Linked DNA regions of Arabidopsis thaliana. The protein of the gene in region 2 interacts with the protein of the main gene of each other region in a pairwise test. Each region holds a gene or a part of one and is shown on either strand. Other genes may lie near its edges.

Region 1 (5,848 bases), on a different chromosome or scaffold from region 2:
ACAATGGTTCAAGCCCTTATAACCAAAAGACTATCCTGTTCTCCAAATCATCCTCATAAAGGCAAGCTTAGATTAAAAACGAGCTCTTTGAGGCAATTCATCGAACAGTTGGTGGTCATGTACCTGCTGAGAAACGTAGACAGAGAAGAAGGAGAGCCACCACCAGTGTTTCCCGTACTGTTTCCGTAAGTCGTTGAACCTCCAGTCTTCTCTAGCTCCCCATTCCCAATTTTCCCGCCGGAAGTAGTTATGAGTCAACCTAATGCTCCAAATCCATGTCAGAGTTATGACAATCATGGATCTCAGCTTATTGTACTGTGACAATGGATGCGAAGCGAAGTAATGAACCAGCATTACAGGTATCACTGTCCAATACACATCGATCATCTGCAAAATTAACGAATTTTTTCAAAAACTAAAAAATTGCGAATTTTAACAAATGGGTAACAGATTTGGAGACTATGGATGCGTACCCAGTGGCTAGATTGGAGTAAACCGATGACCCAGAAGAGCACATTGACGTTTAAGAAGAAGAGAAGGTTTGCTAATAGAAGAGGATGATTCAAACACCATGATTGAATAGAAGAGAGCTCTGAATCGGAAGATGAAGAGTAATTACTGAGAAAGGTGAGGTAGAATACGATAGAAGGAAGTGGAGCAAGAAATGCGACAATGGCGTTTCTAAGATTCCGATTCATTTTCTCTCGAATAAGTCGTTGATGTTGGGTTGGCCTGTAGGAAGGAGAAAGAGAATGCAATTTATAAACTGAGCTTAAAGAATATCTTTGGACTTTTGGGTTGGGTTCTTTGTGGCGTGTATGGGCCCATGTTGGCCCACTTTGATCACTGATATGATTAGAGTCTTCTGTTTAATTATACTTTTGGTGAAAATTAAAATATGATCAACTGTAGATAAAGATATTAGCTTTTTGTAAAAGAGCCGAAAAAGTCAGTAATGAAGAAAATAATTGGACTATGATTTTGTATCGTAATGATTATGGTATGAGATTTCTGACTATTAAGTAATGAAAGTAATAGTGTAAAATATATACATTAAACAATATAAACTCAAAAATTATGAAATGTAAGTGGTTAAGCAGAAATAGGGACAAATGATTAACAAATTTCAGAGCATGGGGAAAGGGAATCGCAATAATAATAACTAGGATTTAATCCGCGGTAAACCGCGGACAATCGGTTTATTTGGTTTTTATACTAAATATTTGAATAAATTTGATATTTTAAATTTATAAATATAAATTTTTTAATCAAACATAATTAAATAATAATTGGGATTTTTTTTTGTTGTTATTTAGTGATAAGATAAATGTGTTAAAATGTGTTTAAAAATGTGTATGTAATTTTAGTGAAAGTAAAATATTTACAAAAATGTAAGATTCACAAAATTGGTATAATATTTTTTATGATTATAAGTGTTTTTTTTAACTATTTGACAGGTTATACACTTTTTTGGCAAAATAAAGACCATATGAATTATGTTATTTATAATTATATGTCTTTAAAGTGAAGATAAAAAAATAAAATTATTTCACTTATTTTTGTTGAACGGTTTAGATTGAAGGGAATTAATTTTATTGAACGGTTTAGATTCAATCAGATCATATAAAGTTTAGAAGATTATTAAGACCAAATTATCTTTAATGATTTTGAATAGCAAATAACAAAATCCAAAATTGAAATCAAAATTGAGGCCAAATTAGACAAAATTTTACTTTGTACTTCCCCTTTTAATAATAAGGGGATAGTGAATTCGTTATTACAATACTTTTTGAAGTAAAAGTGAAGATATCACTAAAGAGATACAATTTAGCTGTGCTCGTGGTGACTCTAATTATTAGCTTAGCCGAAAGCATTGGATTCTATAAATTAACCAACTTTATATGCGGTCCAAATTCGAACTTTAATATAAATTTATGCGCCAATTGTGTCAAGTAAAACGACGTCGTTGAGGTAAAAAAGGGATTGTAAAACGCCGTCGTTCTTTCTCCCGCATCTCGGTTGTTTTCTCTCTCTCCCGGAATAACAATCTACAGTTCTACCGGTTTAAATGTACCGGTTAAGTAAAAACCGGAAAGATACCTTGTTCTCCTAAAAAGGTTGAGAGAAGCGAGGGATTAGCGTGTATCGACGAGATAATCATCTAGTCGTCGGTGTCGCCGCCTTTCTCCGCCGTCTGAAATCGTCCTTGTTCGATTTTCCGAAGACGAAGCAGGAGAAGATATGTCTGGGAGGTTGCTGAAGAAGGTTCTCCAGGAACATGAAGATTCGAAACTTCAGAAACATCACGAAGAAGAAGAAGAAGAGGACGAAGAAGAATCAGGAGCCCGTTCTTCGATTAATCCATTCGATCTCTTGAACGATGGTGATGAAGATCCTGAGGTCAGTCTCTCAGATTTTGACGATTAGATTGTTCGGTAGATTTAGTATCTAGAATTTTATCCTCCTCCGTGTTCTAAAATAGCTAATGTGTTGATAAGTTTGAATGTAGATAGTTTCAATGGTTTGATCTTCAGATTCTTATGGTTTTTTATTCTGATGTCTAGAGCTGATTCATATTTTGTTGGTCGTAGGAGTAATGATTACAAAGTGTTTCTGTAACAATTGGGTTTGATTGCAGGAGATTGATGATGAGACTATAGCTGAGAAGAAGAACGAAGATGCGGATCATCAGTCAAGTGTCGCTGATCATGTGCAGCCGGTGTCAAAGAATAAGTCGAAGAAAAAGAAAAAGAAGAAGAACAAAGAGAGTGGCTCTAATGTGCCTAAAGCTGAAATGACTTTGGATGAAACTTTGGAAGCACTTGGTCTCAATGCTAACTCTAAGCAAGATAAGGTTCAGGAGACAAAACCAAATGCTGATTCTTCCAAAAAGGCTTCTTCACGATTTGTGTTGGAAATAGATTCCAAGTATCTGAATCTTGAGAACGAGTTGAGGAGAACGTATGGTTCAAAGGCTATGCGATCATTTGAGAGTGAGAGTGGCTCTCAAGGTGGTAGTAGCTCTAGACGAGGGGGAAGGCGTGGAGTCCATCATATCACAAAGACGGTTCTGGTATCTCCAAAAGAGAATTGGTCTCGATGGGATAGATCTTTCTCAATGGAGTTTCTAGAGACTAAAGATGGTAACAACTACTTCAGGTAACAATTTTTACAGCTTTTTGTTTTTTCGTTGGGTGTGTGTATAGAAAATACAGACATTGTAAATTTGTACATCTGATGAAATACTTTTCTTTTGATGTGTAGATATACCCATTCATCCTCATATGAGCAGGCTCAGAGAGCATTTCAGGCTGCACAAGCTATCCATGATTTGAATGGTGTAGCAAGTGTCCTTATACACAATCCTTACCATATTGAGTCGCTCATAACTATGGCGGATTACTTTAAGTTTGTAGGTGAGAATGATATGGCTGCAGATTCCATTGGAAAATGCTTGTACGGTTTGGAGCGTGCGTGGCATCCTATGTTCACTCCGTTCCAGGGTAACTGCCGGTTGGAGTTTAACCACGATGAAAACAAGCTGTTCTTCAAGACGCTTTTCACTCACATGAGAAACATGGACAGGCGTGGCTGTCATAGGTCAGCGTTGGAGGTCTGCAAACTCTTGCTTTCCTTGGACACGAGTAATCCTGTGGGCGCTTTGTTTTGTGTGGACTACTTTGCTTTGAGAGCAGAGGAGTATGCGTGGCTGGAGCAATTCTCGGAGGAGTACCGAAATGATAACTCATTATGGCTCTTTCCGAATTTCTCTTATTCGCTTGCAATAGCACGAGTTTATCTTGAAAAGATGGAGCCTACCTCTTCCTCAGAAGCCACTCCCAGAGATACTTCGAAGCAAAGCTCTTTGGATCTCATGACGCAAGCTTTGAAGCTTCATCCAACAGTACTCAACAAACTAGTGGAAAAAGTACCTTTAAAAGATCAGGCATGGACAAAGATACTCAAGCATTCTTACTTCCGATCAGATGAATCAAAGATCCCGTCTTTAGATCACCTCATCAAAATATATGTTGAGAGGAATTATCTTATATGGAGGCTTCCAGATGTACAGAAATTGCTTCGGAGCGCTGCTGATTTAGTCATTGAATCTCTGGAACAAGATGGAACCGAAGCTGAGAGCTGGCTTTGTGTAAGATTAGAAGCTTTCTCTTCTGAGAATAACCAGTAAGCGTTTTGAACTCTCACTCACTTGTCAATTTCTTTTTTTTTGGCTAGAGCTGATCACGTATGGTTCTAACCCATTGCAGGTACTCTCATTTATCAACCCATGATTTCTCTGATTCGATGCCAACTCTCCCACCAGACAATTTGCAGAACTTTGTGGCTGATCCAAGAATGGTGGGAGGAGAGCAAATGGCTGAAGGTGGCGGGAGAGGTCAACACCAAGCACCACCACCACGTCCACGTGATTTGGCAAATCGGAGTCCATTAGCTGTGTTGATTGAGTCAATACTTCCATGGGCTAATTTTGGAGATGGAGAGGATGAGATTGCACATGATGCTCACCACCAACCAGACAACAATGGCTAATCAATGGCTCTAACTGAAGAAAGAAGAAAACTGCTTTAAAGTTTACAAAATGTGGCCTTCCTTTTGTTGTACAGTGCCATTTTGATGGTTTAGTCTATGGATCATTTGTTACTTGGGTAAATCGGACTTGGTCATTTTCGATTCATGTTCTGGTGGAATAATTGACAGCTTTCATTGCTCAAAGGCTCGGTTAAGGTTTGAGCCGGTTCACGATGTCAGGTCAAAATACTGCCACGTATTAAAATAAAAAAATGAAGAGTAATTATAGAAAATAAAGCTGTCTCATCTTCCTCAGTTCTCAGTTTGTCACCATCCTCGAGCAGCTTTTGAGCTTTGAAGGTATCGACTAAATTATTATTATTATTTTTTTCTCCTAGACATTGTTACTCTTTGGGGATAAATTTTTTATCTTGTATAAGCTTATCCATCAGGTTCGAAAATGGATCGAATTGCGTCTGCGACTTTCTCTTGCCCTGCGATTTCATTGTCCCGCGTCTGTAGAATCAGCCCTTTTGGCTTAAACATTAAAACCAACCATAGAAAGAGATTCTCGTGTCGAGTAGCTGTAGCTTCTGGAGAGACTTCGGCCAGGGTTTGTTCTCTGCACATTTTTGTTTTTGGCTCGTCTGAAACAAATGATTTGAGTATGTTTCGGTGATAACTCAGGTCGTCGTCGACAATGAACTTGACTTAGAACACAAGAAACACGATCTACTGAGAGCTGTTCAAGACACTCAACGAGGACTCACTGCCACTTCTGATCAACGATCTATCATTGAGGAGGCTCTGGTACAGCCATTGCATTGGATACTGTTGATGTATGATATTGAGTGACGATGTTATATTCTTCAATGAGTCTGGATTTGGTAGAAACTTTTCAGGTGACTGTGGAAGGGTTTAATGGCGGTGAAGAAATTGATCCAGTGAAGTTAGATGGAACATGGAGGCTACAATATACATCTGCACCTGATGTTGTTGTTCTGTTTGAAGCTGCTTCAAGACTTCCCTTCTTTCAGGTATATACTACTAATGATAATGAACAAAGCAGAGAGAGACTTTAGTTTTGGGCTTCGGTTTTAATCCTGTGTGGATTTTGATCAGGTAGGGCAGGTCTTTCAGAAGTTTGAGTGCAGAGATAGATCCGACGGTGGGATCATTCGGAATGTTGTTCAGTGGAGTCTTCCAAGCTTGTTGGAGGTTTTTGCTTCTCTACTTGTAACCACCCTTTCAATTTCATATATGTCCAGACAGTTACTGTAAATGAATCCTTGGCAGGAGCAAGAAGGTGCAACACTTG
Region 2 (6,853 bases):
ATCAAGATAGAATCAAAACCAGATGACAGGTTCGCCGTGAAGCACGCCCCTTGTCATCCATTGCTCAATCATACTAGTGTTATCAGACGATGATATACGGCTCAATCCACGCGTATCATATAGGCAAAATGAAGCGGAACCTCCTCTCGAGATCATATACTCCTGAACAAAGTATGTTCCTCCTTTAGACGGGGTACCAACTGCGATATGAGAGCGCAAAAAACATCAGTAATCTCACCTTTAAAATAGAAACTATAGCAAACACATATATACTTAATTTACATGATTCTTGAGCTCTATCTAGGAGAAACGCGTCGTCTTCGATCACTCTTGTAATCTTATTAACAAGGCTACTCTTCCCAGCCCCTTTCGGACCAACTAGCATGATCGATGTCGTTTTTGGAATATTGTAATCACTCAACTTGACATCAGACCATGATCCAGGAGTATAGCTATGCATATATCAACCATAATAATAGTCAAAAACATAATTGAGTTTGTATGATCACCAAGTAGAACAAACACAACTTTTCCCTAAATGAATTGAATTTAAATATATATAAAAAATACCTCAAAATCTCATTTCTGGCTTGTCTAAGTTTCCGTTTGCTGGTTCTAAGCAAAAGATCATGACTTTGAAGAATCTCTTGGTAAGCTTTTTCTCTCCTTCTCAAATCAGTAACATGATTAGAGAAATTGGTGAAATTCTCTTCAGAAACATCATCCTTAAACCCTAAATCATCACTGCTACACCAAAAAAAAAAAAAAAAAACCACCATCACTTTCTTGATTATGATTATGATCATACTCAACAAAAATTAGTGATAAAGATTAAATAATAATATACCTGAAACAACAAGAACAAGGAGATGATGATGATGATCTTGAAGATTCTTCATCTACAACATCTTAAAAATAATTTATTTTTCGTTAAATCAAACATGCAAACACAGTTCAAAGAAAAAGATCAAAAAATTTACCATCTTTGAAAGTATCACCACCCATGGCTACAAGCTTCTTACTTGTTCTTCGTTTTGAGATTTCTAAGACTTGTTAGAATCTTGTTTTGATAAAAGATCATTTAAAGAATCTTTTTTATATTCTGTTCTATCTCCAAAGTGACTTTTTTTCAATATCTTTGGTTTGTTTGTAGGACTTGTTCGCTTTACTAAATATAGATTAAAATAAGTATCGTAATTAACATAATAAATATAGTCTTAAATTTTCTTGTAGATAAGACAGATTCACAAGTTAAAGACTTTTATATTAAAAGACGACAGAACCAACATTAATGAAACGTAATTCTTTATGGTAATGCCACATCAAGATTTCAATGTCTTTTTTTATCATATATTATACAGAGACAAGAATAAGGAAATTATTTGTTCGATATTGATAGAGCTCAAGCTCTGAGAGGAAAATGCATCAGCCAAACCAAATTTTTACAAATTAAGAACAAATTGGTGACAAAAAAAATGAAAATTCTAACACCTTTCCTCTGTTTTGTTTTGCTATCTTGTTCTTTAAACTCAAATCTTTCTGACAAACCTCTGTGTTATTTACTTTTTTTACTAGGGTATGGGTTTATTAGATCAGAGGTAATGACTTTGTTGAAACGGCGCAGACACGGCCATCCACGGGCGGTCCAACATATTCGGTTGCATTGATGATGTCATTGTGAAGCCACTCGACTGTGGAGGTCCAACTGTGTGTTGCTGCATTGGACTGCTCACAGTAAATGTTTCTCATTAGGCAAATCTGTTTACACATTAATGGATCCATAGAGACAACTTGTAATCTCACCTGAAAGACAAAGATAAAGGAGATGATTCAACTGGCGCGTGGAGGCCGTTTTCATCAGGAGAGAGCAGAGACCAGAAAACTGTAAATGTTCAAAGAGAGATATTCAACAACCTTTCACAGAGAAATATAACAGAAATCTGCAGTTTTATCAACATATGCTCAAGTTTTCATCACCTGATGGTTCTCGATCATTGTTGACCCCGGGGCAAAAGAGAAAATTCTGCTTTTGTAAACAACAGATTTATTACAACTCATGAAAAGTTTAACAATGCTATATAAGTGACGTTCATTGCGTATGAGCTTACCTCGCTCATGTCCTGAGATACATTGCGGAGCATTTCTGCAAACAATATTTGAAACCATGCTCAATGTCAATGTCAATTTGTGTCAGATCTAGTGACCAACTCTACACGAGGGAATGATACTTACCTAGTTTGGGAGCACTTGGTTTCACAGCTAGTGTCAAGCCAAGAAAACATTCTTCAGGTTCTCTGTTAAAGTCCCAGAGATTTAGCTCAAGATTAGGCAACGCCGCTGCAGAATACCACAAATATAATTGAACTTAATCTTATGGTCATGAAAGCATACTATACGAAGCAGATTAACAAAGAAAAATAAAGCCTCACCCATATTATCAAGCCTCAGCTCAAGGTCATGGATAGGATATGAAGCCTGCGTAGCCATCTGTTCCGAATATATCATTACATTTTCGATTATTACAAAGAGAGGAGTGTGTGATAAAATCAAAAGAAGCAAGGGAATATTCAAATTACACTGAAAAATGGATGATTTAGTGCCTCATCAGCAGTTGGTCGTTTCAATGGATCCCATGAGCAAAGTCGCTGTTGATTCAAAAAAAGAAACAGATGATATACGAAATAAAGATATTGAAAGATCACAACATTCTTAAGAATGGTAAGAAATATCCGCAAAAAGAGTGAACACAAGAACTCACATTGATCAAATCAATAGCTTCAGGAGCAGCATTGGGAAGTAAATCAGCAATTCGTGTCTGCGGAAACTGTCACAAGATATTCAAAGAACAAAGTCAATATTGAAGTGCAGTTAATATAATAAGCCTCTTATCTTTTCATTAAGAACTCTTACCTCTGTGTGACTAATACTCATAATTCGAGATATGCTTTTCGCTTCAGGGAACGTGGTCCAGTCCGGCTTGCCAAGAACACAGCAGATTTTGTATAATTGATCTATCTCACTACTCATAAAGAAATCATTATATCAGTTTTCACTAAATGGTCTATCTTAAGTGTGCACACAGATTAAGCTCAGCTAGTATCGTTTGAAAGGGAAATGAATTCACCTTTCACCAGGAAATAACGGAGTTAAAGCGTAAAGCTCAGCTAGTATCGCTCCAACTGCCCACATGTCTGCAGTTCTTTTAAATGTTAGTCTATAAAGATTTGCAAAGCGATCCAATAGATGACAAAACAGAAAGAAAAAATGTCTTAAACTATTCAAAGCCACGAAGTATTAGCCATGGTTTAGCTAGACTTTTGACATGATCACATGATACTAATGAAATGTGATGAGGCACAAAAGGATTTCGCAAACATACCAACTGCAGGAGTGTATAATGAAGACTGTAGCAAAACTTCTGGAGCTCGATACCTGTTGCAGTCAGAGCCAATAATAAGGTATACGTCGATATCACCTTATACCACATACTTTCATGCATGAATGCGAAGGCAATATCAAAGAGAAATCACTTACCAACGTGTGGACACATATTCAGTGTAAGGAGGCATAGATGCAACTTCTCTAGCCAACCCAAAGTCAGCAATTTTCAGGATATTGTTGGTCACCAGCAAATTCTCTTCAGAAACAGAACAAAACTTGTTTATAAGACATTCAAAGAGCGAAAACCATTTCAATTAATACAATACAAAGTACCAAAACATACCAGGTTTCAGGTCTCGATGGAAATAACCGTTTTTATGCATGTGTGCGAGCCCTTGCAGCATCTGAGACATAAAACTTCTTATTTCTCCTTCAGAAAAAGGTCGTTCCCTTTCTTTCATTATATGGTACAGATTGTGATCCTAGTCAAATCATTATCCAAGAACAATGAGAATATATTCTCTAACATCAGACTAAAAAATCCTACAGAAGATAAAAAAGCGGAGATCGCCTTTACCATGCACTCAAAGATGAAAAAAAGCTCATTATGTTCTCTCACAATCTCCTTCAACTTTATGATATGAGGATGATTTAGCTTACGAAGAGCCTGCAAACGTAAAACTACATCACCATCCTTGAACACAAACATAGACATAACAGAAAGTAAACAACAGACACAGAGTCGCCGCACCTTAACTTCTCGCAGATTCACACACTCTTCCCAATAATAAAACTTTCTCTTCATCTTCTTAACAGCAACCTGAGGAAAACACAAGGTGAGATAGAATCAGCTACACACTAGAAGATAAGCGAAAGAGAGAAACTTTCAACAACTTACAACTTCATATGTTTCCAAATTTACTGCTTTATATACACTACCACAAGTACCATCACCAAGCTCTTCCAAAATCTTATACCTACACATAACAAAAACCACAAACACCATCATCACTTTCTCACCATGTCCAATATATATACAAACAACAACAAGAACAGAACAAGAACAAACCTTTCCATGATTCCGTTTATTCGAGCAATACAACAACGATTAAAAACCCCGTCAATTGTCCTCTGTTAACCTCCACCTTGAAGAACAAGTATCTACTCTTTGAACACAAGAACCGTCACAAGATTGCATAAACTGTTTACTTCTTGATTGTAGTATGTAATCAAGAACCAACTTCTCATCATAAGACTGATTAATTATAAGAATCTGAAAAGTTAGCAACATTGTTCAAAACAAAAAGAGCAGCTTCCTATAAGCTGCAATCAATAATCTTCATCCACAACAAATCTCCAACTACAAAGTTTATCTGCAAAAAAAAAAAAAAAAAAAAAGGATTTAATCAAAATAAAAACAAAATCTTTTGTTTTCAATAATGATGATTTAATCTATTTAGATCGGTTTAGAAAAGAAAAAAAAATCTTCAATTGCTACATATGAAGATTCTGCTATAAAGTCTCAAACTTTATTTATTTGTAGAGTAAAAAAAGATCAATTTGTCCAAGAAATTGAGATAAAATTGAGAAAAATAAACAAAAAACAAATCCAATCGGAATTAAGAAAACAATAAAACACAAAAAAAAAAAAAAAAAAAAATCTTACATGAACACAAGAATTAAAAACATAATCTATAAAAAAAAATTCTCACCATTGATGTAAGGAGAATGAGAATTGGAGAAGAATTAAAGGATCTGATGAAGAAACATCAATGTCGTTTATGTTTTAGAGAAAGTGAATTTAAGAGAAGCCAAAACAAAAAAAAAGAGATAAACTATAGGTGAAGAAGAGAGAGAGGAATAGCAGATTGTTTAGGAAGCCATGGGAGAAGAAAGAAGAAATTGAAGAAGAAGAAGAAGAACGAAATACATAATTAATTAATTAAATTAAATATTTAAGAAGATAATTATTGATTTTTGTATTATTATTAAAATATTAATAAGGAAAAAGAAAAAAATGGAGGAAAATGGTTGGTTGTGGTGGGGAAGGCAACGGTGGTCCCTTAAGAGAGTGATATTAAATAATTCTGGTTTTCTTACCATTTGAAATGACGGAAATCTCCTTCGACTATTGTTTTATTTACCGGAAGATTCTACTGGAGAAAGTCTTTTTAAGATAGGGGAATTGACGAAGTCGTTAATGGGCTATTGGGCTTTATGATGTTGTTGGGTCTGTTTTATTCGATTCCATGCTCAGTTTCGGTTCAACTTCAGCGGTATGGTAAAACTAAAATACCTAACAAGTATTATTTATTTCATCCAAATTTTCTTTTCATGTAACTTTCGACATACTCGGGTATATTAAACAAAACAACATAAAACATTCTGTAAACGGTACGCAAACTTTTAACATCTATTATCACATTCACAGACAGTCAAAGATGGCTACAACGCTCTTATGGCTCGACAATGATCTTCCCAGTAGCATGACCATCGATACTTTTGGCCCAAGCATCCTCCGCTTTGCTCAAAGGATGCTTTGAGTCAATCACTGTCTTCACTTTCCCTTCTTTCACTAGATTCACCATAAACTCCAAATTCTCAGCTTTTGGGATCAACAAGAGTGGCACTAACTGCTTCTTTGACATGGTTATTTTCTTAACCGCATAAGTCCACATTGCATTAGGCCCCGGTGTGATGTCTATCACCTTCCCGTTTTCCGACAAATTTGGTTCGAATACCGAAAATGGAATCCCGTTTGCACAATGGACCACAGCGTCATATTTTTTACCCGACGGACTCTTGAGGGCGGCTCCCTCGGGAGTCTTGTAGTCGAGAACCTCATCCGCTCCCAACGATTTGACAAACTCTATGTTCCGGGCACCACATGTAGCGGTTACGTGAGCATTTGCAAGTTTTGCCAGCTGGACTGCATAGTGACCAACCCCACCAGATGCTGCTGTGACCAGGATGTTCGCCTTCTTGCCTGTACCATCCAGCTTCAACCCCGCAGGATTAGTAAGAGCTTGGAGAGCGGTTAGACCCGCCACAGGTAAAGCTGCTGCTTCAGCTGCTCCCACTTCTTGAGGTCTTTTGACAGTCAGCTTCTCGGTTGCAACAGCGAACTCAGCAAGTCCACCTCCACCCTGAAAGAACAAAATCAGTTTCCCTTAACATGTTTCAAGGTAATTAAAGTTTCTACTTGTCTGTCTGAAAAAACTTACTAGATGGCTAAGAACCGCTACAACTTTGTCACCAGCCTTAAAATTTTTTACTCCTGATCCAACCTCAACGACCTCTCCAGCAACATCAGTAGCTGTTCAAAACAAATATCAAAGGTTCCAAACTCAACGACCTCTAAGCAAAGTAACCTCTTTCTTCTATACAGAAACTAAAATCTTCAAAGCTATTAGAATACCTGGAATGCAGGGGAACTTGCGGGGCAGAAATGGGCGGATCATTCCTTTCTGAA

Evidence for each region.
Region 1: the proteins of MHK (region 2) and AT2G46900 interact in a two-hybrid assay, tested with the Arabidopsis thaliana proteins (one large-scale study listed by BioGRID).

The regions. Positions count from the first base shown.
Region 1 is NC_003071.7:19,267,437-19,273,284, forward strand, and holds AT2G46900 (transcription factor-like protein), read left to right. Parts: upstream 1-2,121; 5' UTR 2,122-2,241; coding exon 2,242-2,400; intron 2,401-2,638; coding exon 2,639-3,159; intron 3,160-3,264; coding exon 3,265-4,185; intron 4,186-4,268; coding exon 4,269-4,551; 3' UTR 4,552-4,827; downstream 4,828-5,848. Other genes in the region: AT2G46890 (3-oxo-5-alpha-steroid 4-dehydrogenase (DUF1295)), read right to left, coding at 124-387, 474-698; AT2G46910 (Plastid-lipid associated protein PAP / fibrillin family protein), read left to right, coding at 4,991-5,143, 5,218-5,340, 5,433-5,567, 5,653-5,748, 5,827-5,848.
Region 2 is NC_003075.7:7,601,552-7,608,404, reverse strand, and holds MHK (Protein kinase superfamily protein), read right to left. Parts: upstream 5,305-6,853; 5' UTR 5,094-5,304; intron 4,755-5,093; 5' UTR 4,459-4,754; coding exon 4,451-4,458; exon of another isoform or gene 4,391-4,450; coding exon of another isoform or gene 4,359-4,390; coding exon 4,280-4,358; intron 4,202-4,279; coding exon 4,133-4,201; intron 4,076-4,132; coding exon 3,959-4,075; intron 3,864-3,958; coding exon 3,725-3,863; intron 3,638-3,724; coding exon 3,535-3,637; intron 3,433-3,534; coding exon 3,380-3,432; intron 3,192-3,379; coding exon 3,125-3,191; intron 3,020-3,124; coding exon 2,911-3,019; intron 2,825-2,910; coding exon 2,759-2,824; intron 2,646-2,758; coding exon 2,577-2,645; intron 2,488-2,576; coding exon 2,430-2,487; intron 2,338-2,429; coding exon 2,233-2,337; intron 2,144-2,232; coding exon 2,109-2,143; intron 2,024-2,108; coding exon 1,978-2,023; coding exon of another isoform or gene 1,952-1,977; exon of another isoform or gene 1,883-1,951; coding exon 1,804-1,882; coding exon of another isoform or gene 1,800-1,803; exon of another isoform or gene 1,729-1,799; coding exon of another isoform or gene 1,726-1,728; and 3 more. Other genes in the region: AT4G13030 (P-loop containing nucleoside triphosphate hydrolases superfamily protein), read right to left, coding at 20-200, 283-452, 571-747, 848-908, 981-1,005; AT4G13010 (Oxidoreductase, zinc-binding dehydrogenase family protein), read right to left, coding at 5,838-6,527, 6,606-6,697, 6,800-6,853.